Linked DNA regions of Lytechinus pictus. Each later gene encodes a partner of the first gene's protein in a complex. Links are inferred from orthologs where the notes say so. Each region holds a gene or a part of one and is shown in the gene's direction. Other genes may lie near its edges.

Region 1 (7,102 bases):
TGTTTTTTGCCAACTGCAAACTTGTAGACAAGTCTACAAGTTGTAGACTTGTCTTAATGAATTTGCCAACTGCAGATTTACCAGTTTTTTAAGTCTTGTGTTCTGTTCTTTTCAGATCTGAAACGGGGCAGTACTTGTACATCACTTTGCTGACTGGTAGAGCGTATAGTGTTCTGCCACTTTATAATTTGCCAACTATACTTTGGCTTTGATTATTCAACTTAAACCTTGGAAATTCATCCCACCCAATATTTATGTACCTAGTCTTGCCTCTAATTTTACAAAACTAATGTGTTTGTTAAATCGTCAATAATTGTGGTATAATTTGCAAACTAACAAGCTTGTTCATATTGGGGGAGGACCGGGGGCTTACTTTGTGTGTTATTATAGCACCATCTGTTTTGTACTTAGTATTTTGCTGACTTGTAGGGCAGGCGCGTAGCCAGGGGGGGGGGCGGTGGGGGCGGTCGCCCCCCCAAAAAACGTCCCCAAAAAGAAAAAAAAAAGAAGGGAAAAAAGAGAGGAAAAAATGAAAAGGGAAGGGAGGAAAGGGAAGAAAGGTAGCTTTGTCGGTTTTTTTTTCTTTTTATAATTTATTTTTTTTCTCAAAAGAGAAACTCCTTCACACTTGCTTTAGATTTATATATGAATTTTGCTTCCGCGCTGCGCGCGGTTAAATGACAATATTGAAGTTCTCCATTGTTTCCCCACCCTTTCTCTAACTCTGCTTTTCCACCTCAGCTATATGTGTTTCTTGCCAGTTAAAGTTCAAATGTATAGATTAGGGCATGGAATAAGAGTAAGGTTAGGCCGAAGTATATGAAGTTATCTTTTTTTTATTGATCGCGCAACTTCTGGTCGGGTCGGCTCCGGGCGGGTAAAATCTTTATATCAATTTATGCCGTCACCTCCATCAAGTCAACTTCTCCCGCTTTTCAGGTCATTACTAAACAATCATAATTTGGGGCAAACAGGTTCCTAATTTAAAAAGAGGAATGTATAAAATTCGTGTCGTATTAAATAAAAAAGTACAATATTTTTTTCAAATTCTATTAATCTTCATGTTATTTCCCTGCACATTCATCTCCTGTCCTGTTTTGCGCCCTCAGTTTGAAATTTTGAATGACACTTAGGTTTCTTTATAATTCAAAATGAAGCGCTTCAGGATAAGTCAAAGAAATTAGGCATCCTTTTTTATATTATTTTAATAAATCACAGAAGTTTCAACTTTTTGCGCACTATTTTCCTTGTAATGAAGTTCAATAATCTTAGGAAATCAATTGAATTAGAGCCGATGGGGTATTAGATATATCTGCATTTGATGAAACGTCCGCCCTTTGAAATTTCAGAGTTTTATTGCTCTGCGCGGGGAGGAATATCTTCCTCCCGGCATATACACTTCTTCTCCTCTGTTTTGCGAGTTAAAGATATGCACTGTCGCTAAATTGTTTGTAATCAAATCTGATATTTCCAAGGGAAGTATTCAATATATCTTTGAGAATACCCTTTTCTCGGGACCCTTTTCATGGCAAAGAAATTGATAAAACGCTTTAGCTTCCGCGCTTCGCGCGGGGTTATAATGATTTTAATTTCCTCCATTGTATTCCTTTTCGTGCGTTCACAATCACTTTTGAAAACAAGGTTCAAAATCACAATAAAGTCAACTAAATTGGAGCTGATATAGGTACTAGAGACAAGAGAGACGGCTCCTTTTCATTTTAATTTATGAAACACCAAAAGCTTCGCGCTTCGCGCGGGAGGGGAAACTCCCCCTCCCTGCACCCACCCCCTAGGAAGCGCTTCGCGCGCTCTGTAAGTGTAGGCACGCTTCGCGTGCATTTACCGCCCCCTCCAAAATGAAATCCTGGCTACGCGGTTGTTGTAGGGCTCTAAGCCTGGCAACATGGACTTGGATTTGCCAATTGGTTGTCTTTACTCTAAAAGTCGTAACCTTCTTCAAAGTTAGTACCCCTATTTTCCTTTTTTTTTTTTCTTTCTTTCTTTCTTTCTTTCTTTCTTTCTTTCTTTCTTTCTTTCTTTCTTTCTTTCTTTCTTTCTTTCTTTCTTTCTTTCTTTCTTTCTTTCTTTCTTTCTTTCTTTCTTTCTTTCTTTCTTTCTTTCTTTCTTTCTTTCTTTCTCTCCCCTCTCTCTCTCTCTTTCTTTCTTTCTTTCTTTCTTTCTTTCTTTCTTTCTTTCTTTCTTTCTTTCTTTCTTTCTTTCTTTCTTTCTTTCTTTCTTTCTTTCTTTCTTTCTTTCTTTCTTTCTTTCTTTCTTTCTCTCCCCCTCTCTCTCTCTCTTTCTTTCTTTCTTTCTTTCTTTTTCTCCCCTATCCTCCATTTTGCCAACTGGTACATGATTTTGCCGACTGCCACGAATGTTGGGGGGTGTCGCACCCCCCCCCATACCCCCCCTCTAGCTACGGCCCTGCTTAGGCGGATAATACGGATACCTTTCAGATATAGTAATGCTAGAAAAAAAAACTCACGAATAATAAAGAAATGTATCTAATAGCTCTGAAGGGGAGAAAAAAAGAGAGAGACGAATTGACCTTAAATATTGGTGAAAACCTTTTTTTTTTTTTTGCTTATTGACTTTTTGGCGGACGGATTATTGACCTTAAATATTTTTTTCTTTTTCTTTTAAACCAGTACTGGTCTTCTTTATTTGAATAAAAAATATACACGCATAATTTTAAAAAAGTACACAAACAAAAGTTCAACAAGCTATTCAGTATTAAATTCCATTTGCTAATATTCATATACACATTTTCCTTTCGTTTACCTCTCTCATTATCATATCTATTTTCCAAAACATATATATGAACATAATATTCAAATCATAAAGCTTCATCTTTTCATTGTAACTAATGTTATCTTGTGATATTTGTAAATCGAATATAATGCATTATTCAATATTAAATTCCTTTCTTTTTCTTTTTCTTTTCTTAAACCGTAAACAAAGATTTTGAACTAGACACCTTCTTATGAGTGCTTCAACGTATTTCCAAAACTTATCAACCTCTGTACACAACTAAAACAAATGTAATAAATCACTCAACTTATTGCACTCACTACCTGAATATATGTGTTTGTTAAATTCCATTTTTTTTAAGTTACAGAGAGTAGGTAGTAAATTATACATAAAATTGAAATTAAAATGGGCTATGGTATTATCTTGAATACTTTTGAGTTTCAGTGTCCATGTAAACAACCAAGAATTTTTATTTTCTTCATCTAAAATTTCTATTCAAAATAATTCGGCCCTTGATTTTTCAACATCTAATTGCAACATCTCTTGATAGATTTGTTTTACTCTAGATTTACAATTAAGCAATGTATTTAAAGATGGCATGGATAAGGAGACAACTTAAATATAGTTGGCAATTTTTTTTATTACTTGTCAAATTTTCAATGGGTAAAATCATGCCACCCCTTTTTAAAAATCCTGGATCCTGTACCACCCCGAAAGTTTCAACTCTGGATCCGCGCCTGCCTAATATATAGTAGCCTAAAAATAACAATACAAATAATAGTAATATATGATGATGGTAATAATGATAGCAATTAATAATAATATCAAAAATTATTAATAATAATAAATTAATAATAAACTGGTGCATATCCAGTATTCTGCACCCTGTGGGCCCACCAAAACCGCGTGCGCGAGCAACATAGCTCACGTGCAAAAAATCCTTCTTTTATGAAGCTGAATAGGCCTACCTTTATTTTAAAAACATTTTTAAACAGAATTATAGAAATCATAATTTCGGAAATATTGAAATTACATTAAAATTACACAAAGATATATTTTGAAACATTTATCAAAGTAAATAATTATAATTACTGCCTTAGAAAGATTTGATAAATATGGAACCAAAAGGCGGCTCTCCTATCGTTTCGGCCAAATTTGAACCAGTCATTTGGATCTGGCGGGCCCGATCGACTAGCGGTTTTGTACTGGCGGTACTAATCAGCTAGCCGTTTTGGACCGCCGGTTTCCGGGCTAATTCGCCAATGACACCGGCCTGCGCCGCTCGCGCTTGCGCTTGCACGCGATAAAAATATGCGCATGCGACGTACGTGCGCTTTGCACATACGTTCCGCTGGATTGATTGCTGTCCACTTAGCTTGGCACTGACTTGGACTTACCGCAGAATTGCTCAAATTATATAGGTTAGTAATTTTAATATTGATTAAAAGTTTGTTTGGTTATAATTATTTGTTATGATTTAGATGTAGAGCTATCATATTGGTCTCATTTTGTAATTGATAGGAAAATCTGATGAAGTTAAATTATGCTCCTTCTTCATGGTCATGTCCTTGGACCTTGCTTCCAACACAATTTCTTACACCTGGGACTGGGCTTGGATTCGGGACGAAGTCGGAGGCACATGACGTGCATGTGCAGGGAGGGAACCCCGTCGGATCGCGGTCGCGAGCCGTGTTGACGTGGTCGTGGTCCGAACGGTGAGTACCGGGGGGGGGGGGGGGGGGCACTCACATAATTATTGGTGGTACGCAGTCAGACCGCAGTTCCCTATGCTAAAAAAGTAATGAGCAAAAAGACCAGATTCATCCAAATCATCTCGTGGCTGAATCCTCCTCCGGCTCCGGCCTCCTTGCAAAATCTTGTTGTGATTCGTGAGATTTTCTTACTTTCTCTAAGAATTTACCTGTTTTAACAAATAAATTATTATTGCACTATCAGGCATCAGATAGAGTGAGTAACTTGTTAGATGTTATTCTCTCATATTGGTCATTTATTTTGTATAGGGGCCTACAATATTTTGATAAATAAGTAAATTTCTGGCCTGAAAATGTGCCTCAAAACTGAATTTTCTTCCTCTGTTTTCTTTTGCAAATTGTGCATAACTTTTTATTTTGAGCCTCAATGATATCACCATAAAGCTGAACTTCTGGGCTGGGCCTGTTGCATGAAATGGTCTTTCGTAGAACCGTTCTACGTAAGAACGAGATATCGCTCAACTGTTACAAATTAAAGCCGATACCACTCATTCAATGAACAAGGTTATGAAATAACCTTGTTCTCAGTTATATCTCCATGTGTGGCAAAATAAGGATGGCAATGTTTGGCTAATTTTCTCTTTTTCTTTGGGACAAATGCTTGATTTTTTTACACTGACAGTTTTCATTACACCTATTCGTCATACAACTTGGCCCTTAAGTAAATTTGATTCTTTAAATTATTTTTTTCTTAAAGTTGAATTAAGAAGACGATTCCAAATATTGAGATATTTACATTAATAGCAACCTTACAACCCCCCAAACACTTATAGGTGATACGACCCCCCATTTTCTTTTTTCAAAATAGTGAATTTGAACGATTTATCCCTACCCATTTTCCCTGAGTTCGCTCCTGCAATGCCTACCGAGACGGGTGTTCTTTGAGTGTGACGTCACCGGGGGGTATTCGGTCCCGGTGTAGTAAACAAGGCAGTGCCGTTTTGTGTACTATGCACGTACTCCTTCATATGGAATAACTGCAGTTGAAGTTGTATCTGCGAGCCATAGAACTTGCAAAGAGGAAATGATTAAAATATTTGTGGCCGTACTATTATTCCAAATATGTGAATTCCCTCAGAATGATACCATAGACCCTAAAGGAATAATTTCAAGGAGAATAATATGAAATTTGATCGAGATCTTCTCACCAGTCGATAACGTAGCAGACGTGTTATTATGACATATTTATCCGCGTGTGACGCGGCTCTTGCAAAAAAACACAGTTGGTTGCGGAATTGCTTTGTGCCGACCGGCCGCCCGCTCCGGCGCAGCTAGCTGTCGAGCTACCGTACCGTTCTTGTTGTCTTCAACCATAGAGATGTATACTAATTACTATATATCTTTCTGTCTTCAACTCACTTCCGAATTGCGTTTGTATGTGTGACGGTGACCCCTAGCGTAATTAAATATAGAAAACAGCTCAGAAGGCCGAGAAAGAATACTATACGTTTGGTTCAAGATTGTTCTGTGGAATGAGCTATGAGTGGAAATGATCCAGAGGATATAAAAGTGGAGTCAAAGACAAAAGAAAAGAAGAAAAAACGCCAGGGGATCGCTGCACGGCCATGAACTAAGTCGACATACCAGACCATAACAGTACACTCAATGCCTGGGTGTTGTGTGTACTAGTATTATGCGTTCAGCGCGCGCTGAGCTAACCGCCGGAATTACTTTCCAGCTACTCACTTGATTGAACATCGTGATAAAATAAATGAGAAATAGTGAAAATATCATTCAATAACTCACTGTTTGCTATCTTACATCATGATTGAAGAGTTCATGGTGGTTATTCATACTGTTTTTTATACAGGGAAAGTAAAGATTTGTACATATCAGTCCTATTTGTTTGATTTGAGTTGCTTTGAAAAAAAATTGTAAAATATCTTTCTCTCTCTGCATAGCATTTCTGTATGACATTCAGGCACCTCTTATACTAAATTCTCCCCGGTGACGTCACACTCCGAGTGACTTTTCTGTACACTCGTCTCTCGAGCTCTGACAGGTGGCTAATTTCATAGACTTTCAAAGCAAAATATCGAGAAGGCAGAGGATTATTGTGACATGCTATGTGTTTGAACAACTTATATATACTATATATTGTATGTAGAACCTATATTTATGGAAACTCACCCCCTTCTTAATTCAACTTTAATTAAAAACAGATAAAAAATGATAATTTTCTTGCCATATTATTTTCCACCAATAGAGGGCGTACACAAAAATATGCCAAAAATTAAAGTTTTTGAGCGCTCTAGTAAATACAAAAATTATTCCCAAGTTACTAATGAAAAATAAATTGCAACTGTATGGAAATTAGTAATTTTGGTCACAAAAGTGATATTTTAATCATTTTTTAAAGTGTGTGCTCTGTACAGCATTGGCATGCCATAGTCCAACCTGTAGATTCCCCACAGGCAGGGTGGTTGCAGTGTGGTTGCAGTGAACAAGTGGGCGATTCAAACACATGACCTGAAAGAATGATTCTTCTTCTTTACAATGATACCAAAATCATGAAGTTCGATGCACAATTAGAGCAGCAATGACCGAATGAAAAATTGTGTTTTGGTCCTCATCAAGCT
Region 2 (6,867 bases), on another chromosome or scaffold:
TTCAGCAGCCCCTAAAGTTCTTGAAACCCAATTCTGTGGGGCAACCATTTTCTCTATTCGGCCTTGCCTCGGCTCCAAACAAGCAGACCTCAGAGCAGCAGATTTATCAAATAAGGAGAACATTTGGGTATTAGCAGTTGAATATGGCGGCTCCTTTGGGCCAACTGACATATTCATGTAAAGGGTGATTCCATACGTGTCGTACGGGACATTTAGAGAACATTTGACAGTTTTTTGACAAGAAAAACTAAATATATTCCAGTAACTAAAGGTGATCATCAAGTACTACCAGAGTGTTAGAAAAACAAAGACTTAACATAACTTGAATTCACATCCTGTATAATACAGATTTAAAATAGTAATGTGTCGTACGGACGCAGAAAAAGTGACTTTTTTAGAAACCTCAAGTTTGTACTCTAAAGTCTGTGAGTTGGACAGATAATTTTCATAGAAACTGAACTCAAATTGATATTCAATTACCCAAGAACAAACACATCTATGAAAGAAAGCAAAATAATCCTTCATGAATAAATAAAGCAAATTGCAATTTTCGAGAACATTGTGGCGTACGGGACACTCAAAATGTGTCGTACGGGACATCTCTAAATTGAAGCCAAACTTTCTTACTTTATGTCTCTTTGACTTCTTCAATCACTTTATTTGGCTGATGATAATGATAATCCTATCAAACTAAAGACATTCATTATGTTAGAAACCGCTATTGGCTGAATATTTCTGTCAATTATCATAAACAAAATAATGTGTCGTACGGGACACTTGTGTGTCGTACAGGACACTTCTGTGTCGTACGGGACACTTGTGTGTCGTACGGGACACTTGAGTGTTGTACAGGCACTTGCGTGTTGTACTCGGCAGCCTGAATAAAACAATGAACTTTTTATTAATCAGAAGGGGAGCATTGCCCCTAAATTCTTCCTTTTTAATGAAAAGTCTTTTAATAAGTAGTCATTCAGGACAATATAATTAAGTAACCTCAATATATACAATCGGAAGCAATATGTCATCATTTTATTTTCATGATGGGAAATGTACAAGGGTTCACAGCATTTTTACGGGCTGAAAAACTTGAGGTTTTGTGTGAAGTTATATTCAGTGAATTAATTGATGATTTCCAATACACTATTTAAACAATGAATGAATGAAACTGTTTGTGTAAATTATGGGGCTAAAATGTTATAATTTTTCATATAAAATGTATATATACATGACAACTGTCACTTGTAATTCCACAAAATATATTTTTCTAAAGAAATTTTTTTCTACTTGTTCAAACCTTTCTGCATTTCATGAAACCATATGGTTTGTCTTATTTTCCAGATTTTTTTGTGAACAACATGGTTTGTCTTATTTTCCAGATTTTTTTTACAACTTGAAAAAAGTAAGGAGTTTCAATATTGTATATAAAAAAGTAAGTGATCATCAAGGGAAGTCCAAATAGATGATTGATATGTAATTTTTTTACATCTTATAATAATTCCACATTAGCATGCAAGAGGAAGTCATCTTCCAGGCTAGGGTGAATCAATTATAAAGGTTTTCTTTTCACGCTCAATGACAAAGAAATTAACCTGCTCTGACCAAAGAAAATCACCAGTTTAGCTGGAGGGATTCAAAAAAGAATACGCCTACATGAAATCAATTAAAATGGTTAGAATCACCTATTTCATGTTCTATGGAGATAAAAAAAGTACCTTTTCAGTACACTTTATGTCAAATCAATTACTTGAATTAAAATAGGTCTACTATTTATAGTTTCTGAATCCAAATCATGTAATTAAATGCATTATGTATTGTGTGTCGTACGGGACAACTATTAATAGGACAATTATTGAAAAATGAAGGACAGTAATTAGATCCTTATGGGATAAATCGATCACCCATGGGTCAAAGATAGAGAAACTGATTTTGTGAAATTGCATCATCAAAAAAAAAATTGTAGGAAAAACTTTTGCACTTTCATGTGTGGTACGGGACATTGCCAAAAATAGGTTCGGAAAAATCAGGGCTGCCCCTATTATGGATCATGAAAATGTTGTAGATATTATTTGGAACATTCAATGATACATTATTCCATTGACCTGCTATATTTTCAGTCTTCTCGTGCTTTGCCAATAATTGTTTCAGGCAGTGTTTGTACTTGACTATTTAATCAGCAAAATTATTGTCCAGTTGTCATGACGATTATCCGCCTTTTTCAAGACGGGCGCTCGTAAAAATAATTTATGGAGTTTGTGAACGCAATTTTTATTGAATTATCCGCATTACTCTTAGGCGGCTAATTGGAGGATATGTTTTATTGGGTTTATGAAAGGGGTATTAGACACTCACCAGAACTACACACATCGCAATCCATCGTGTGTGGCCCCCTGCTGTGACTGTATATGCCGGGCTGTTGTGTTATCTTCAGACCGAGGTCAAGAAACAGGTGTTTTGATACTTAAACTGCTTGCTTGGTACAGTTAGGGTATGAGGCTGTTCTCACTCAGTTCCTGAAACTAGTTTAGTGGAAACTAGTTTAACGCTAAGTGAGAACGGTCGAAGCGCTCTTGGAAGCGCTCTTCCAAACCAGTTTGGAAGACCACCTCGCGATGTAGTTTTCAAGATCGCTTCGCATCGGAAAAGTGGTTTTAGCGTAAGTGAGGACACAACCGTTCTTCGGGAAGCGATCTTCGCACATTTTGAGCGCGCTACTCCACACGACAGGTGTAGAATGCCTATGCTGCGGTTTCGAATTTCGCGCGAAACGTGTCACCCCACTGAGAGCGTTTCCATAGCAACAAGAGCGCTTTACGTGAAGTGATTTTGAAAACCACTTTCGTGTGATCAAGTGAGAACGCTAGCAAAGCGATCTTCCAAACTGGCTTTCTGAACCGGTTCCCAGTAAACTAGTTTTAGGAACGTAGTGAGAACAGCCTCTTTGTCTTACTTGGAGAAGAGAATTGATGAGAAGGGAAACTGAGGTATAGTGTTCTCAAATTGAGGTTTTCGTCATGATTTGTTACTCTTTTGGTTTTATATCAAATTGAGTATACTTATTCTTACTCTAGCACGAATAGTAAGTACTGTATAAACAATAGTATAGAATAATTTACAACGTTCGAACCGTGAAATCTTTGCTGTTCTCGATAATTCTTGTCTGGTCTCTGACCCTGTACTCTAGGCTGAGCTCGATTCAAATTTCGAAATAATGTGTTGATGTACGTCCGTCCAGGCCAGTCCGCACCTCCGCTCGCTCGATGCAACTTACAAGTAGTTACGGGGAAGGGGGTATGTACATGGTCGGCTTGTATAAATAGCCATCGAAGTCTCCATATCACTATAGGGTCTGGGAAGGAGACCGCCAGGGGGACATTCCCAGCCTGCACAAGGGGACGTTTAGCGATAGGTCAATCCTTGGATATTTTTTCCAATCTACTCCCTTTTTTAGGCCGGGGCAATGATGGGACAAAATTTGAGCGGGTAGCCAACGCACCCGCGCTCTCTGTGCCTGCTGGCAGGTTTTTTCTGCCCGCCGGCGAGGTTGTGTTCTCATGTTCAGTACTTGGTGGGGTTTCCATGCCCACTGCAATATTGGGTTCTTTATCAGGCGGATTTGAACTCAGACATCGGCAGCGGTGTAAGAAAAAGAAAATTAGAGGCACAAAAGTTGCATTTTATCACCTGTACAATGCACTTATGTGTTGTTGGAAGGGCGCGCGGTCGTGAAAGAGGAAGTGACGAGGGATGTAGGTCACAAGGTGACCCTGACGGGTTGCACGCTGTATGTGCCAGGGGCATGCAGAAATTATGTGGGAGATCTTACCAGTGTTGTTGAGGGTGGGGTGGGGGTGAATAGCAATGTTTAACAGGGACAGGTGAGTATGCCTCATTCGTAAATAAGACACTCACTGACTGAGTGTCGTTCTTTACTATACATTCAGCTAAGTTCATCTCATCATCTTGGCTAGCAGCCCTCTTTTCTAACACTTGGTTTGCCTTCTCTTGCTATTCAAGGTGCTTCTCCGGGTCCAGGTTTTTCCCTTTTAATTCAGTTATTCTGTGACTCTCAAATTCCAAGGTCCTCTGGTTCTTTTTATGCTATCTTGCATTGACTTGACTGCCTTTTCCATGATCTTCTCGAAATTGTCTGTTGCAGCTTTAAGATGGACTGTAAGCTGAGGTATGGCCAGGGGAAGTGGTGGAGCGTGCAGCATGGTTAGCTGGGCCAGTAGGGTCGGCAGCATCACCTTCCAGTTCATCGTTCAAGATATTGAATCTTCCACTGGTCTCAATGTTGGATTTATTAACAAATTTATCTCCTTTATAAGACATGATAAATATTATTAGTTACAAGTCAACAAGGGTAGTAAGAACTATCAACGTAATATGAAATATATGATTGAGAGATGGTATATATGGTGATAATGAAGTATCTAGGGAGATACTGTCACTTAGTTAGCAGCCATTTGGTCTTATTCGGTCTATGTTACAACGTATAAATGTCAAGTCATGCTTGTAATATATTACATAGAAACACTGTAAAAGATTTTGTATGAGCTGTTGCATGAATTAAATTTTTTTTTTTTTTTCAATTTAATTTGATGTACACAGAAGCATATGGTAGAAACACAAGTCTTCTTCGCCATGCCAGTCTTCCACGTGAGGTGGTATGCACTGAGAACTTGACCCCCTGGAAAAAACTGCTTCCTTGTGACTCAAAGGTATGTGATTAAATTAATTTTTGCTTTAAAAGTGCATGTATTATTTATTGTATAATATTGGTATCTCATTATAGGTTTAAGGTAAGCAGGATTTCAATAACGTGTGTTTGATATTTATCCTTGTATATTTGAGGATTTTAGAATAATCCTAGTATTTCAGGAAAGAGTGGACTGAAATTCTTGTTTAGTCAGGACTGATTTCTGGCTTGCTACACCAAATTTGTGAGATGCCTCCAAGAGGCTGAATGAATTTTATAGGGTACATTTATCTACAGTTTGTGAATTCCTCAAAGTGATGCCTTGTAGACATATTTTCTAATATCTACAAAGCCATACAAGAAAACATTTTCTTTAAGGAATAATTTATGAATGTAAATTTAGGAATTAAGCAGAAATACATTCTGTTGCATTATATATATATTCATTCTCTTAAAGTATAAAACAACTCTGTGATGTGCATGGTGCACGATGTTATAAAAAAATGTTGATAACTTGTTCATCTTTTTTTTTCTTGGAAGGCTGGTCTGGCATCACTCTTCAAAGCTGATAAGTTGTACAATGCCCATTATCATTCCTTGGCAGTCGATATACGACCAGTTTGTCGGTCAGGAATGATCCCTTGTAGGGAGTCAGCAGTACAGCTCAGTCAATCACTGAATGTTGTCTTTGGACCCTTGGCACAGAACAGACAAGGCACTCGCCAAGATGTTTCTTTGAGAGTCCTGTTTGGGAAGGTTTTGAGTGGTCCATGTCCAATGGCATCTAGCAGCAGGGTAATCGTGGATTTATCAAAGAATTATGTAAGTCTGTTTGGATTCAACTTCAATGAACACTTTTACTTCAGTTTATGTAAGTTTTGTACATTGTTATACCAAAATACTTCATTTAGTAAGGTGAGACGTTAATATCTGAGCTCTCATGCCGTGAAGTTCATGAGGTTGAATTTGTATATCAATAGAGAACCCCTGCGGCCATCGCGGAGTCACATAACCAGCCTGTGCAGCCGTGATTTTGGCACCTGCATTTTTTTCGCGGGCATTGGGCCAGCAAGCTAAGAGTTCTTCACGGGTTCATAACCTGTATTGTTTGCCATGAGAACTTGTAGTAGTGCAACTATTGTGATTCGAGCAATATTTTCGCCGTGCGAAATTTTTTGACCACGTCGCTTGCTGAATTTTTACTTTCAAGTCTTGTACAACTTTTGAGACCAGTTTTGTGTCATCCAGGTACGCCGTTCCGAAATTACGCAACATTATGTAAGTGCATGTCAGACCAAAAATTTGCTTAAAAACATGATTTCGTGTACAAAGTCAATGCAAACTGTGTTTTCAACCAAAAATCATAAATGTATGATTATTTTTAGTTTTGCCAGTCTAAATGTATTTATTTTATGCTGTTTATGATCTCAGAAGAGTCCCCTACAAATTTCATTGTAAAAACAATGAAAAGCGAAAGGTCCAAAAAAACAAAGAAATACATAAGAAATTGCAAAAAACAATATAATACATAAGAAATTGATCTGATATAACAATTTTTTAATGTACACTTGCTAAGAACAGCACAACGTTTTTTATACCAAAAATTAGAACATTTTGAGCTTTATTTAGGGAGCTAAGGGAAAAATATGATTTCACATACTAATTACGCATAAATAATAGCATAAACCCTAATAGCAATTTGCATGAAATAAATTACTATACAATATTGTACATTATGTCCCAGACAACCTGCGTGCCAATTTTCGGCGCGATTGCATGGCCAATGGCCGAGATCTCAAGGGGGGCCTGGGAGGACCGCCCCCCCCCTCCCCCCATAATTAGCATAATCACTTAATAGCAATTTGTATAATATAATTTATAGCAATAAATAGCATTATATCCCAGACAACCTGCGTGCCAATTTTCAGTGCGATTGCATGGCCAACGGCCGAGATCTCACAGGGGGGGCTGGGAGGACCCCCCCCCCGGCCATATGAACTTCCAAAATACCCCGGCCTAGATAGGGTTAAGGGCAGGGCTCGAAATTAGCGGCTGCCTGGGTGCCATTGGCAACCAAAACTACCAGTGGGCAACCTGAAAGTCCCGCCATGGTTGCCCTGATGTCAACCAAGAAAATTCTGGATTTTTTTTTCTCAAATAGAATAAAA
Region 3 (7,052 bases), on another chromosome or scaffold:
AGGACTTGAATGCTTTAAATATGTTCATTTTCTGGTTGGGTTCACTAACTTTTGAGCACCACCGTACTGTATTATGTACAGGAGATAGTTTCCCAAAAAAATCAAACAGATCTGCCATAAAGCAAGTGCCTTCCATATCTATTATTTATTGTTTTGCTCTAGCATTTTAGTCATTCATGGGATTTTAATCCGATGAGTGCATGTCTAAAAGCTTCAGTATGTCTGTTGTAAGGCTATTTTACGATAATAAATGTTAGTAAGTGCGACTCTAAGTAGAGTTAAGTCATACCCCAAGATCCAACCTTGTTCACTGAATAAATGCCCAGATCCAGCTCATCAATTACTTAGCATGATTAGTTACGAACAAACTACAGCTGGCAGCCGTCTGTTTCGAGGAGTTTTTTAACATTTTCATTTTTTTTTAATTTCTCCTCATACACAGACGGCTCGCGATCGTGCAGCTGCCATTAGGGGGTTAACAATGCAAAATCCCCCAACGGGGCTCATTCATAGATTTTTGTCTTTATTTCATAAAAATATACAAAAAGAACTGGACCAAAATTAAGATTATTATTTCGTTTTGGCCTGAAATGCACCAAAATGGGGAAAAATAAACTTAAATTAAAAGGAAAAAAACTTTAAAAAGTGACTTGCTTCGGCTGTCGCGCAACTCCCACTTCCCTGGTTTATCTGAACTTAATACATAAACATATGGCCATTGAGTCCCTGTACAGATCGAGTTAGAACTTCAGTCTCTGTAATAATTAGTGAGTGGAGCCAACGGAGTTGAGCTTCAGCCAAACAAATATAACAGAGACAGAAGCTTTTATTTTTGTTTTAAGTTTTGGTCTACAAGTACAATAGTACTACAAACAAACATGCCCGATAATATTTAATAAATTAAAATAAATGTTCATCCGAGCATTTATTTTTTTTCAGTCTATGCCCATAATCAAATTAATATGGCACAGTCACACAATGTTGTGATGATCGCGATCGTGATCTTGGCCATTTCATTTCAGGCCAAGGCCAATGGCAATGCCGTATTCCCAGGCCAAGGCTACGGGCAGAGCCGGGGGCAGGGCCTGGCGGACATGGGCCATGCCCATGGCGGAGCAAAGGATAAGCTGGTGCGGAAATTCCAACCTCAATGTGCACCTGCCATTTATTATTACTAACTCACCGGATCTGTTTGTTTCCCTTCTTACAGTCAAAGTTTTATCTCTGTATATCATCCAAACAATGTCAACATTCGAAATGTAAATAAATGTAAACTATCTCATTTCTTCCCACAATTTTGCTGCCCATGATTGATCTACAAAAGGCGCAGCAGACGTACGTGACGTGATCGATCGAAAGGTCCTTGTCACATGCTAATATTCTTTGTCACGTGATATTCAGGAAATGGTATATTCTTTCTGATCTGGGATAGTCAGAGGGATTTTTTATAGAGGGGCCGATTTCACGAAAGGGTCTTTCCAAGGACCGTCTTTCGTGTCGCCCATCTTTTATGACGCACTGTATGCTGGATAATTCTTAAATGTACGATAAACAAATAAAATTTGTTTGCTAGCATTTAAATCAATTTGTATACAATTTCATGATATAGCACATCATTATGTAAATAAAGATTTGAATAAAATATGTTTGCAGGTAATTTATTTAAAATGCGTTTAATTCACATGGCGCATCTTAATAAATGGGCGACACGAAAGACGGTTCTTGCAAAGACCCTTTCGTGCAATAGGCCCCATATCTCTATGAGAGATACTGATAATATATCTCTATATATGGGGATAGGATTCTCTTCTCGGGGGGGGGGGGGTCCTCAAGGGTAGGGCTAGGGAAGGAGGAGTGGGTCACTGCATGGGTGTTGATCCCGGATAGCCTGGATTATATTCACGGTAGAGGGCCGTCACGTGATGATATGATAATGAAGATAGTAGAATTAAGGGAATAGAATATATTTTCAGTTCCAGGCCCGGATCCAGCTTTTGCCAATAGGGGGAGGTAGCAGAAAGATATTTTCATCCAGCTGATTTGGGGTTAGTTTTTTCGAGGGGGCATGCATGCATGCAGTCCTATAAACTTTTTGAGTACATTTGATATATCTCAGCTTTACTCTCAATTAAGCAGAGCCTTAATAAATCATGCGAGTGCAATTAATACCCGAACGGCATATTTATGGTTATATTCCCGGGATTTAAAGGAGAATGAAACCCTTGAAACCAGCTGAATCCATATCAAAGAGAAAAATCAAAGAAACATTTTGTTGAAAGTTTGAGGAAGATTGAATGAATAATAAGAAAGTTATGAGCATTTGAATATTGAGATCACTAGTGCCATGTAGATCCTCCCATCGGCAATGCGACCAAGATCTGTGATATCACACACGTACAACTCCCTCATTACTTTGGTACTTATTTCACTTATATTCTCACTTTTATAGAGTCTATCACAAGGTGAGGTGTTCTCTTTATGAGATGACAAGTACAGAGGTTTCACAACATTATATCATTGATGAATCGTTTGTCATATGATTAGAATGAGCAAAAAGAAATGTTTTGGGGTATATTTTCAGTGTCCAAATGGGAGAGTTGTACGTGTGTGACATCACAGATCTTGGTCGCATTGCCAATGGGAGGATCTCCATAGCATTAGTGATCTCGACATTCAAATGCTCATAACTCTTTTATTGCTAGTCCTATTTTACTCAAACTTTTGTTGATCTTATTTTTTGATTTTTCTGCTTTCACAAAAGCTAACTTGCTCCAAGTGTTTCATTCTCCTTTAAGGAATAATTTTTTAATTCACAACATTTCAAAACTTATTTATTTCTGGAGTTTGGATTTTATGTTTGGCTATAACTTGCAGATATTTCCATCGGAGCAATTTTCGCCGGAGCAAATGTAAGGTGCAACCATCTTTATCTTTCTATCTATCTATCTATCTATTTAATATCTATCTATTTATATATCTTTCTATCTATCTATCTATATATCTATCTATCTATTTTTCTATCTATATCTATCTATCTTCTATCTATCTATCTATCTATTTCTTCTTCTTCTTTTCCTTTCTTTCGTTCGTTTGTTCATTTGTCTGTTCATTTGTTTCTTCGTTCGCTCGCTCATTCACTCGTTCGTTCATTCATTTGTTCATTCAGTCAGTCAGTCATTCATTTATTCATTGATCATTCCGTTCATTTAGGCCTACTCACTTTAGTTCAAATACAATCAAAGGACAAGTCCACCCCATCAAAAAGTTTATTTGAATAAAAAGAGAACGTTCCAACAAGCATAACACTGAAAAAAGTTATGACATTTTAAAGTTTCGCTTAATTTCACAAAACAGTTATATGCACATCCTGGTCGGTATAAAAATGAGGAACCTAACGATGTCATCCACGTCACTATATCTTTTGTATTTTATTTTATGAAATGTGAAATATTTTATCTCCTCATTGTCAAGTGAAACAATGATTAATTCCTCCATGATCATGTGGAAGTAGCATATTATTTAATACTATATGGTTCAGTCAAGTTGGTCCTTATTGTCAAAACTGTAAAAAATGAAATATTGTAGAATTCAAACAATAAAAAACAAAAGAAATAGTGAGTGAAGTACATCATCGACTGTCTCATTTGCATGTCACTGAGTTGTACATAATCACGGTTTTGTGAAAAATAAGCGAAACTTTAAAAAGTCATAACTTTCTTGTTTTACCTCCGATTTTGATGAAATTTTGAAAGTTATGCTAGTCTGATTTTTCTCTATTATTGATTTTTTTTTTTCTGGGGTGGACTTAAGTAAATTATCTCTGGCCTTAGCTCTCATGCAGCATTGAGACTACAAAGAAGAAAAATGCAAAGATATGCGATAAAAAATAATGTATGAAAATAAGATTAGAGCAAAAGTACTGGAAACACAACAAAAGCTACAATATCCCCCCCCCCCCCAAAAAAAAAAAGATGCGCTAATAGCAGACGACGCCGGTCGTCGCGATATCGGGTAGTCGGGTACCCGCGGCCGCGCGCGCGCAATACCGGTATCGCCTGGAAAATTTGTAGATTTGACCGAGTCTGAGTCTGAGACTGTGAGACTCTGAGTGAAATTTTGGCGTAAATTGCTGATTCAGCATTTATTTGCTCCTCAACTATGGCTAAACAAGGGTCAGAACGCGAGGAGAGTTCAGGTAAATAAGATAAAATTATAACTTTGTTAAATATTTTTTCTAGTGTCGATTAATTAAGTTCCAGCTACCAATCAGTATCTCAGTGACCTTCGGTCCCATGTGTGGAGATTGGTGTAACGTATGCGCGTCTTTCTTGTAATAAGTTGTTAAACTTAAAAATTAAGACTTTGTGTGTCATATGTTAGCTATAGAGTAGGGCCTAGACCTTATCGCAAATGGATATACGCAAAGGATCACGGGACCCCAGCTTGCATGCTTCCTCTTTCTTTCTTTTTCTTTCTTCCTTCCTTAATTTTTAATCCTTACTTGCTACCTTTCTTTCTTTCTGGCGAAGTTTCTCTTTTTTCGTTTCTAATTCTATCCTTTCTTCTATCTTTCCCGCTTGCCTTTTTTGTTCCATCTATCTTTTCAATCTTTCCTAGCTTTCTTTCCTGATCTTTTTTCTCTCTCTCTATGTTCATTATTCTTTGTTTCCTTTGCTTTGTTTTCTTGTACTTTCCTTCTTTCTTTAAATTTCTTCATTTTTTTTTTTGCTTCCTTGGCTTCTCCCTTCCTCTCCTTTTTCTTTTTCCGAAGTTTTTGTTCTTTCTTTCTTTTCCTTCTTCCATTATTTTCTTCTTTTTAAAAAATTCTCTCTTCACTTCATTCTTTCCTTCCACTAAAGTTTCATCCTTTCGTTCTGTATCTTCTTTCCTTCTCTTTTTCCTTATTCTTTCTTTCCTTTTTTCCTTCCTTCCTGAAATTCCCCTTTCTTTCTTTCTTTCTCTTTCTTTCTTTGTTTTCTTTTTTTTCTTAAAAAAAATGCAGGAAATCTTTTTTCTTCATTCTCTCTTTCTCCTCTTTTTCTTACTTTCTTCCTCCCCCCCCCCCCCCCCCGGCTTTTTTATTTCTTTCCATTCTTTCTTTCACCCATTAATTCATTTTCCCTTTCTTTCGTTTTCCTGTTCTTTTCTTTCCCTTTTTCTTTATTGATTTCAAAGAATGGAGGAAACCTTTTTTTTTCTTTCCTTTATTCTTTCTTTCTTCTCCATTCATCTCTTTTCTTTCCTTTTTTTTCTTTCTCTCCTTCATCCTTTCCTTCACCCATTCATTCACCTTCCCTTTTTCTTTCTTTCTTTTTTTCTTTTCTTTCTTTTTTCCTTCCTTCCTTCCTTTCCTTCTTTTTTTAGTTATTTTCAGTGATTCCCCTTTTTATTTTGTGTCACGTTCATATACAAAAGCACATGAAAATATATGAGGGAGAAAATTAATCAAATGGTGTATTGACACCAATTTCGGTCATAGGAGGTAAAATCACTCCTAGTACCAATGAGGTCCAAACATTACATGTATGGACCTCATAGGCGACATAAGTGATAAAACCGGTTAGACATTGCCGTTTCTATTTGCACCCAAGGACTTTGGCAAATGTACGCCTTAATACAAATTGGATGGTAAAATTTTTGGTATGAATTAGTTTTAAACATCATAAATAATCTTTTACAATGTTTAAAAGTTAATGGATTGAGGTTAAACTTACATTTTCAGTCTTTTTTCTTGAATTCTTGGTGAGCGTTCCAAACGCTGTGAGGACTGATCAACTCCGATGTGATTCACGTACTGGTCAGCTGATCGGTCAGGTGATCGGTTGTTATCGGTTGGTTATCTTATTGTCAGACGTTCATAATTTATATTACAATATATCAATCTTCAGTATCTTGATTTCAAGCATCAGTATTGCAGAGAAAAGTCATTATACTAGATTGGAATCAGTGGCAGATCGGGGGGGGGGGGGGTTGAGCATTTCTGGCCTGTTCCACCTTTTGAGATTCATAGTCAATATTTTGGATGTAAAAAAGAAAATATGTCGTTCATACAAAGTTATGTCCCCCCCCCCCCCCCCACCTAGCTCCCTTATGAGAATCACAGCAATATTTGTAATGGGGATATTTTGTTCATATTCTTTGCCCTTTTTTGCTTCTCAAATTTATTTTACTTTGAACAATATGACTTTCTATATTTAGTGACAAACTTTTTTATGGGGGGGTGGGGGGCTTGCCAAATATAACGCAGGACAAGATGACCTTCTTTTTTTAGTGACAACTTCTTTTTTTTGTCAAATTTTACGAGAGACAAAATGACCTTCGATCATTATTAGTTAAACCTTTTTTTTTGGGGGGGGGTAGGGGGCTCGCCAAATAGTGACACACTTTTTTGTAAAATTTTACGCAAGAAAAAATGATCTTCAATCATTATCAGTTACCTTTCATTCGTTTTTTTTTGGGGGGGGGGGGGCTTGCCAAATTTTATGTGGGACAAATGACCTTCATTTTTTAGTGATTTTTTTTTTATACTTGACAAATTTTAAGAGGAACAAAATGGCCTTCAATCATTTTTAGTTAGAACCTTTTTTTTTTGGGGGGGGGGGGCTTGCCAAATATTTCACAGACAAAATGAACTTCAATTTTAGTGACCAGCTTTTTATTACTTTTAAAATTTCACGCAGGACAAAATGACCTTCACTTTTTTTTTTATGTTAACCTGGGGGGGGGGGCTTGCCAAATATTACACGGACAAAATGACAGTATTTTATTTTTAGTGACCATTTTTTTAAATACTTTTTTTCAAGCTCGTCAGGGGGGCAGGGATACGTCATTTGCATGGGTTGTGACTCATCGGGGGGGGGGGGGGCAGTGTCTGCCCCCCCTTGCTCCCCCCCCCCCCGTAGGTACGCTAGTGCTCGGGACCTACATTACGTAACTTTTATCTTCCACATATATATATATATATGCCCCCTCTTATATACCCCTGTTATGCCCCTGCACAGACTCGTCTACATTGATTTCGATATTTAAGCGTCATTATAAAATTATAACAA
Region 4 (7,535 bases), on another chromosome or scaffold:
TCAAATATATTATATTTCAGCAGTTCTGTATTCCATCCTGATCTGAGTAGCAATTTAATTTACTCACTGCACCTCGTACGTACAGTAAAAATAATGTTTAAAATGTTATACAATGCTGTGTACTATATGAACTGGACAGTAGTTGTTTAACAGTTTAAACATGCGACCATGCTTTAACATTGAAGATTAGATATTAAATATGATATTTTTGTTTAAGAATCAACAACTGTAATTTGATGTATGAGGTTTTTAAACTATTATTTTACGAAACGCTTATTCTCCACTTTCTTCAGGTTAGAGAGAGTAAAATTTAACGAGCAAAATTAATAAGATGAAACATTCGATATCTTTATATATTATGTACATCATTATTGTATTATATTGTTATTATTATATGATATTATATTACTATCATAATAGATATTATTATCATTATCATTATTATTATTAGTAGTAGTAATAGTATAGTAGTAGTAGTAGTAGTCAAGTAGTAGTAGTAGTAGTATATTATAATCACTTTTATCATTGTCATTGCGTCGTTGTCATTGTTATTGTTATCATCACCATCATCATCATCATTATCACCAGAAGGTATAAAAATAAAAGAGTGTCATGAATTTGAAATGAATGGGTTTTTATCAGTATCTTATTGGAGAGCACCGTATATATGCATAATAAACTATATACAGTTCTGTTTGCTGTGTGTGGGAATATTATGCAGTTATTTAATTCAAATGAACAAGTCTGATTAGGGTTAATGCCAGAGAAGAAAATATACTTATTAAAACAACTCGATGACCGAACCCATGATTTAAACAAACAAAAATAAATGTAACTCTTGACTCATTGGGCAAACATGAATCGGTGAATAACTCCATAATTATTTGTTTAAAAAATATCATCAAAGTTTTTATAGATTGATAAAAACTTACCTCGCTCAAGTTATGTACTAGTTATGCAGTGGTATTTTTTTCACCCAAGATACCAAAGTTTATCCAACTCACTAACTAGAGGAAAACAATTATACATCTGTACGTTATTTTGTGGAGAAAGAGATATACAATTAAGGCCAACACTACGGCATTCCATCCTTATTATTGATTTCTCCACCCATTGACAATAATTTGGAAGATCGATAAGTCCGTTCCATTTTAACTTTTATTGATTTATTCCCACAGTTGGTAAATATGTGAACGACTTGTAACAGGCACTTGAACGGTGTTGGAGTGTCAATGCTAAGGCCATCGCGGTGTAAACTGGTAATGTGGTGTTAAAACTAACACCATGCAGTTGGTATCTCTATAGAGGAACACACAACGAGGTGTTGAAATTATACCCTATTAGAGTTTGAATATAGGCCCAACACCAAACCTTTTAAAGTAACAAGTGTTGAAAATCACTATTTGGTGTTGAACAAACACTACAGAATTATCACCGGTGTAAAATTATTGGTGTGGTACTCATGTATACAGCATAACACTACAGTTTATGCTGTCAGGTATACGCTATACAATCCGAACAATATTAAGCCCCATTGAGGAGAGGGTCACTCCCCCCCCCCAAAAAAAAAAAAAAAAAAAAAAAAAAAAACTCGACCAATGGAGTGGATCGACTTTACCTCCGCGAGAAATTGACAAGCCCCCCCCCCAAAAAAAAAAAAATAAAATAAAAGGGGTAGTCTCATTTGCAGACCCTTCGCTCGAGTTGTGACTATAATGACTTGGTTACTGAAGGCCCTCTCTGTGTGAAAGAAAGAGCAAGTTGTAATTGTGGTAGTCTTGTTAATCAAAGTTTTAATCGGGGTCTGTGCGGCCTGCAGACTAGGATGGGGGGGGGGGGCTTTTCAACCCCCTAAAATAAGACAGGTTGGTGAGGGAGCATGCGTAGGCAAGGCAAGTATGCGAGGGAGAACAGCGAACAAGTGACATCAAGACTGATAATGTTCTATAGGCAGATCCAAGAATGCTGCGGCTACATGCATTCTTTCCCCTCCGCGCTCGCATTATTTCTTAAGTCTATGGAGATATCTATCTTGCTTGTAAGAATAAATATGTTCTTATACCATAGAGATATATACGATTACTTCTACTCATTAGATTGGACTACACCCAGAAAAAAAACCCAGCAAAAATCAGGATTTATCAGTCGATCGGGGAAAATTTTTTTATTGGTGAAAGCTGGAGCCGCCCCTGAGGCCCCTTAATCGAAAGTAATCTGTTCAGGGAAGTATGATGGTATATGTATGGCACCTATAAGCCTCCCTTTTTCGCGCCTTGTCAGCAGTTTCAAAGCATATCGTTTTTCCCCCCTTGTTCACTCACCAAACCGTTCTCTCCCAGAAGCCCTTCATTTCTGGTGAGCGTTTCATGAACATTTTCATCCGACAAGTTGTCAGATCTGACAACTTTCCCTGTTTCTGATTGGCTTGTAGAAACAGTGTTACTATGGTAATTGTCGGATAAAACAGGACTTGTCAGATCAAGGCCTTTCATGAAACGCTCCCCATCAAGAGTCAGTTCTCGAAGACCCATTTTCATGTTAAATTCTAGTTCCCAAGCACCCCCATGTAAATTTACTTCAGCACCCCCAGTAAAAAAAAATCGTTCCCAGAGCCCTGCCATAATTATGCAAGCGCCATCTTGTTCTTAAGCCCCTCATCATAACAACTTCAGACTTTGGGGCTGCGCGTCCACATCCTTTCCATTCCACCCCCCCCCCGGCACTCGTTCACGAGAGAGTAACAAAACATAAATTATGACGACATTCATTCACATCTCTCCACTACTGCAAAGGAAAGATCGGGTAAATGACTAAAGATATCAATATTTCAGGTAGGGGGATGGTCTGTGTTATCATCCCTCCAATAATTTAAGTTCGAACATTATATTTCAACGTGATGAATTGTATGACAAATTATATCAATTATTAATATAATAATTGTTATTATTATAATTATTGTTATTATAGTTGTTATATTATAATTATACTATTAATAATAATCATGATGAGTATCATGATGAATTTCGCGATGGTTATCTTATTTACGGATAATGACCATTTATATTGTTTCGCTTATAATTTTTATTATGTTTATTGCTGTTGAATGAAACAATTTCTTTGGAAACTATGATAAACAGATGCTAATTGGAGAAAGAAAATATTCCAGGATGAAGTAGAATAACACGTTCATGATGATGTTTTTATGCATGACGTTTTGTTTTTTTAATTTACCCCCCCCCCCCCGCAACCAATCGCATGTTGTGTGCCTACTTTATTTAAAATATTACTTCATTTTGTTTCCCTAATTCAAGTTTATATAAACAAGAGAAGAAAATATAAAAGAAATGATATTGAAATTTAAAAGAGTGTGTAAAAGAGATATATCCATGAAAACCGATAACGGTCATCAAAATGCACTGGATCATTTTCAGGTCATTTTTTCTTTAAAAATTCAGCTAGCACTTCGCGCTCGCATTATTGATATAGTCCTTATAAGTACTAGTATCTAGTACTAGTATTGTGGAAAGAAAGCTAATATTATACTTAAACTTCGGTGTTAATGACTACCCCTCCTCCACTATAGCTGGCAAACCAGACGTGAGATTTGGAGACCATGGACCCCCCAAAAAAAAGTTTCATGCAAGAAAGAGGGAAAGAGGTGAAATATGATGTTATTTAAAATGTTTTAAAATTTTGCTCGCTCACAGCTTTTTATAGTGCCCGTTTTATGCAATGTCTGGATCCCTAAAAATGTTAGACTCGTAATTCCACTGCCCCGCCTCTAACTAGTAGAAAAAAATCCCTCACAGAGAACAATATTTTGTGTCAGTCACCCCCCCCCAACCATGAACACCGATCGACACCCATGGTTGTGGCAAAACTTTGCTTACTAAATTTTCACAAAACAGGTAAAAGAGGAAGTCCTTAATTCGCTCACTGTTTCTTTTTTTTCTTCATTATTTGCACAATACAATATCAATTATTTTTACAGATTTGACAATGAGAAGGTCCTACCAACTTTTCAAAACAGTAAAGTGTTCAAATAATGGTAATTCCACATGTTCAGGGAGAGACGCTGTTTCATGTGACAATGATGACGAAAAATAAAAATGTTGATAGGCCTATGAAAGAAACTGTGAGTGGGTATTGTCATCAGTCCCCTCATTTTTATACCGACCAGGATGTGAATAAAACTGTTTTGTGAAATTAAGCGAAAATTTGATATGTCATAACTTTCTCAGGGGCCGCGGAACTGTTTTCAAAGTGGGGGGGGGGGGGCTGACCATTCAAAAAATCACCGTTTCTTATGGTAATTTTTACGTTTTTGTACAAAGTTTTTGGAAAAAGGTAGGGGACTGAAGCCCCCCCCCCCCCCCCAGCACCCCCACTTCCGCGGCCCATGTTTCTCATTTTACATCCAATTTTGAATTGTATAATGCTTGTTTGATGTTTCTCTTATATTCAAATCCCGGTTCAAATAAAATTTTGGTTTGTGGTACATCGTGAACTAACCACATGTATGCCGCAGATGGCGACAAACAGAATGCTGATAAAATGGCAGCTTCCATGGTTTTTGTTTCTCTGATTGGAGTGACTGTGAGATCTGTATTGTTTTACTCATTTGTATCAAGCTGGCTGACCGATCGAGTTGAAATTTCTACACCTCTTACATCATGGAAATCGAGTGAGTGAAACAGATGTTTAGAGGTCTTTAAAGACTTCTCTGTAATTCTCATTGAGCCGCCGAGGCGAGGCGAGAGTTAGTTAACCCAGGCCCAGGGAGCAAATCAGCAATGAATGGCATCCCGTCTCGTCCGCGAAGCGGGCCGGAGGCGGAGCCCAGCCTTAGGGCCAGGACTCGTCCGTGTAATATTACTATTTAGGCAGACATGGAATATGGATACTTTCCAAAATGGGGTCGCAATATAGCACTCCAAATAAAAGGGGGGAAAATAAATTATGCACTTACCTCGATTATAATTAATATGGATGAAGGTCATTCTAGCAAGGCGGCTTCTTGAATCTTGAGAGTAAAAATCATTTACTAACGTAGGCTTACTTAGTCTTAGCCCACCCACGGCTACATCTCAGCCGCCGACTACAGAATAATTGAAGGCACGGCGCATTCAACAAATAGCGTTAATTTACGAAAAATTAATACGAGGACTTACCAATCCTACGAAACTTACAAAATGATGTGAAGTCAATTCCTCATAATTTGATGAATATCTCTCAAAATGCGTCATTTAACTTAAGCGTTGATTGTTCTTCTCATTGACAAAATACGAAAGCTACCTTTCTAGCTCTCAAATTTTTCCTCTAATGAGCGAAAGAGGGCGCGCGATTTATCTTCATATCAAAGACACTAAAATTGAAAGACTAGACACAGAAATTATCTTACACGTAAATCGATGCAAAGCGTTACGCGAAGTCGGCAAAGTGTTCAATCTTTTTACTGTAAAGACTTTGGTGGAACGTTAATTGACAAACGAACGGTAGCACTTGCAGGGCTTTGTTCAAGGTACATAGAATTTTCTATATTTTTTGTTTAATTTGTCATCGTTTTGAATATTTTCCAAAAAGTATTATCGTCAGCAAAAATAATAAAAAAGTATGTTTTTTAAGTTATTGCATTTATTGGGGTCTCTATTTTATCAAACAATTATTGGAATTGCGCATACAATGAATCATGAATCTAGTTTAAAAAATACCACCAAGCTGAATTAAGGTTGCGAACTGTATTAGCGCCACCAACGACCTTCCTTTTATTTCCGTGGAAGAGACGTGCGAAGCCACCCAGGCGGAGGTAAGCGATTTTGCTCTTTTTTGTGTCCTTTTTAAATTAAAAAATATGTTAAAATTGATAATGGAACGCTTTCTACCAGAATAAGCCCTGGTGAGTAGCAGAATGGGTTTCGGCTAACATCATTCACGTTATGAAGCGATGTTAACGACAACTCTAAAATCCACTACAAAAAGACGTTGGTTGTGCGAGGTTCGTATAGCATATACTAACCTCGCAATAGTGTGAGTGTACTTAGCCTGGAGGCGTCTGGGGAGTAAAAGTCATATACTCTACGTATGGTTACTCCCCGAACGCCTGACGTTGCTACATATAGGCTCCCAAGCACCGAGGGAAAAGGCAACTATAAAAATGCGCCAAACTGCTAGTTATGTTTAGAATCTGAGGTTAACACTTCTGTACATGGGTAAAAATATTGGTTGGCAACGTTTGGCAAAAAATGAATAGTTATGGTTACAGAATGACGAATAAATGACATGAAGTAATAAAAGTAGAAGAGAGTTTACTTACACTTGTTGACATCGCCATCTTTGATCCTTTGTTAATGCAACCTTGTTACATGACGCATATAGAGGGCAGCAAAATCATGAGTGGTGCTAGATTAAAAAGTGCTAAAATGTCCCGCTTCAACTTGCTTCAACTGGTCTATTGAAGCAACGAGAGCGTAGAAATGTCGGAAATGAAGTTTTATCCCATGTACCGTAAGTAACGGACTATAAACCGCACCCCCAACTTTGGACTAAAAAAAAAAAAATGATAATAATAATCCTTCTCACATTTACATGCATATTTGAGGTACGAAGAAACAAAAAAGATTTCAAGGTATCCAAAGAGATTACCGGTATGCGGAAATCTGCTGTTTGATCAATTCATCTAAATGTTAGCAAGAAAGAAAGGTCCTGACAATATTGGCCACTTACACACTCACCTCACAGTCACAGTGTACACACACACAGCACTGCTGTTCTTACATTGCAAACTACGATACGGTACCAGCAGTACCTCTTATCAAATTATGATGTGTCTTTCCCGGCGTAGGAGGAAGAAACATTCACATTTCTTGCATCACAACCTCACAATCACTTTCAGAATTTGTCTAGCATTCGATGTCTTAGCATGAATTTTGGATACGGGATTACAGGAAGGTTCAAGAAACAAAGAAATTTGCATTTTTTCCAATTGTTTTTACGGCTTCGTGCCGTCTCTCTCGTTGCGTGGTGTACATGGTATCTTATGAAAAGCAAACGAGAAAGAAAAAATAAGCTGGCGCGAAACGGGACTTTGGAGGGGTTAAAATGAATAGCGCCAGGTTAAGTCGCACTACATAGCCACAATACAACGCAAGCTAGCTCTAGCTCTCAGCTCGCTCAACTCTCGTTCAGCTGTGACAAAATATTACCGAGTATGCTTGGTTTCTCTTTGAACTTAGCCAGGGTACTTCGCTGTTTTGAATCGAGAATAAAGTCGAAATTAGTGTCATGAAGGTGGGTGCGTTTGTTATAGACAATATTTGATTAAGATCGTAATAATCGCTTCCCATTACCCGCGGCTCATACCCCACTAAATGACATTGCCCTGGGTGGCTACGCCCGGCCACTCGATGTGTTGTGAACTGGCAGAAGTCTTACATGTTCGGGAGGGGTTACGGCGGGCTGGCTTAGACCCGTCACCGTGGATAAACCGCACCCCCGTTATGCATCTAAATGACTAATGTCACGTTCGTTCTCGGTAT

What was found.
Region 2: the proteins of glycosylphosphatidylinositol anchor attachment 1 protein-like (region 1) and GPI transamidase component PIG-T-like are in contact, whole or in part, in a cryo-EM structure (PDB 7W72), measured with the Homo sapiens proteins. The link is inferred for Lytechinus pictus from reciprocal best matches to the Homo sapiens genes GPAA1 and PIGT. Residues at the interface, in NP_003792.1 of Homo sapiens: Arg97, Ser98, Val99, Gly100, Glu102, Tyr104, Arg134, Ala135, Pro136, Arg137, Ala138, Ala139, Ser140, Thr141, Glu142, Arg171, Gly172, Gln173, Ile174, Tyr199, His200, Asp201, Val202, Leu212, Gln213, Gly214, Arg215, Ala218, Arg311, Tyr312; in NP_057021.2 of Homo sapiens: Gln91, Gly92, Phe93, Arg95, Arg97, Tyr98, Ser108, Phe211, His212, Thr213, Ser214, Asp247, Phe249, Ile250, Arg340, Gln355, Tyr357, Val358, Ser359, Gly360, Tyr361, Gly362, Leu363, Leu371, Tyr373, Lys441, Asp459, Pro460, Asn461, His462.
Region 3: glycosylphosphatidylinositol anchor attachment 1 protein-like (region 1) and GPI transamidase component PIG-S-like share a complex: the UniProt entries of both Homo sapiens proteins name them as parts of the GPI-anchor transamidase complex. The link is inferred for Lytechinus pictus from reciprocal best matches to the Homo sapiens genes GPAA1 and PIGS.
Region 4: the proteins of glycosylphosphatidylinositol anchor attachment 1 protein-like (region 1) and phosphatidylinositol glycan anchor biosynthesis class U protein-like are in contact, whole or in part, in a cryo-EM structure (PDB 8IMX), measured with the Homo sapiens proteins. The link is inferred for Lytechinus pictus from reciprocal best matches to the Homo sapiens genes GPAA1 and PIGU. Residues at the interface, in NP_003792.1 of Homo sapiens: Gln245, Leu310, Arg311, Arg313, Phe358, Leu359, Ile371, Ala389, Leu390, Trp393, His397, Leu500, Ile504, Leu508, Cys512, Leu515, Thr516; in NP_536724.1 of Homo sapiens: Tyr349, Ile355, Phe356, Cys360, Ile363, Val364, Leu367, Leu368, Val371, Leu372, Leu375, Ile377, Tyr378, Ala379, Gly380, Ser381, Phe386.

Annotation. Positions count from the first base shown.
Region 1 is NC_087256.1:9,673,109-9,680,210, reverse strand, and holds the start of glycosylphosphatidylinositol anchor attachment 1 protein-like, read left to right. Parts: upstream 1-4,087; 5' UTR 4,088-4,172; intron 4,173-7,102. UniProt on the Homo sapiens protein: Component of the glycosylphosphatidylinositol-anchor (GPI-anchor) transamidase (GPI-T) complex that catalyzes the formation of the linkage between a proprotein and a GPI-anchor and participates in GPI anchored protein biosynthesis. Binds GPI-anchor.
Region 2 is NC_087246.1:41,756,695-41,763,561, forward strand, and holds the start of GPI transamidase component PIG-T-like, read left to right. Parts: upstream 1-3,858; coding exon 3,859-3,875; intron 3,876-4,156; coding exon 4,157-4,215; intron 4,216-4,611; coding exon 4,612-4,721; intron 4,722-5,239; coding exon 5,240-5,521; intron 5,522-6,867. UniProt on the Homo sapiens protein: Component of the glycosylphosphatidylinositol-anchor (GPI-anchor) transamidase (GPI-T) complex that catalyzes the formation of the linkage between a proprotein and a GPI-anchor and participates in GPI anchored protein biosynthesis.
Region 3 is NC_087245.1:38,640,745-38,647,796, forward strand, and holds the start of GPI transamidase component PIG-S-like, read left to right. Parts: upstream 1-4,050; 5' UTR 4,051-4,158; coding exon 4,159-4,195; intron 4,196-7,052. UniProt on the Homo sapiens protein: Component of the glycosylphosphatidylinositol-anchor (GPI-anchor) transamidase (GPI-T) complex that catalyzes the formation of the linkage between a proprotein and a GPI-anchor and participates in GPI anchored protein biosynthesis.
Region 4 is NC_087246.1:56,750,970-56,758,504, forward strand, and holds the start of phosphatidylinositol glycan anchor biosynthesis class U protein-like, read left to right. Parts: upstream 1-4,530; 5' UTR 4,531-4,554; coding exon 4,555-4,684; intron 4,685-7,535. UniProt on the Homo sapiens protein: Component of the glycosylphosphatidylinositol-anchor (GPI-anchor) transamidase (GPI-T) complex that catalyzes the formation of the linkage between a proprotein and a GPI-anchor and participates in GPI anchored protein biosynthesis.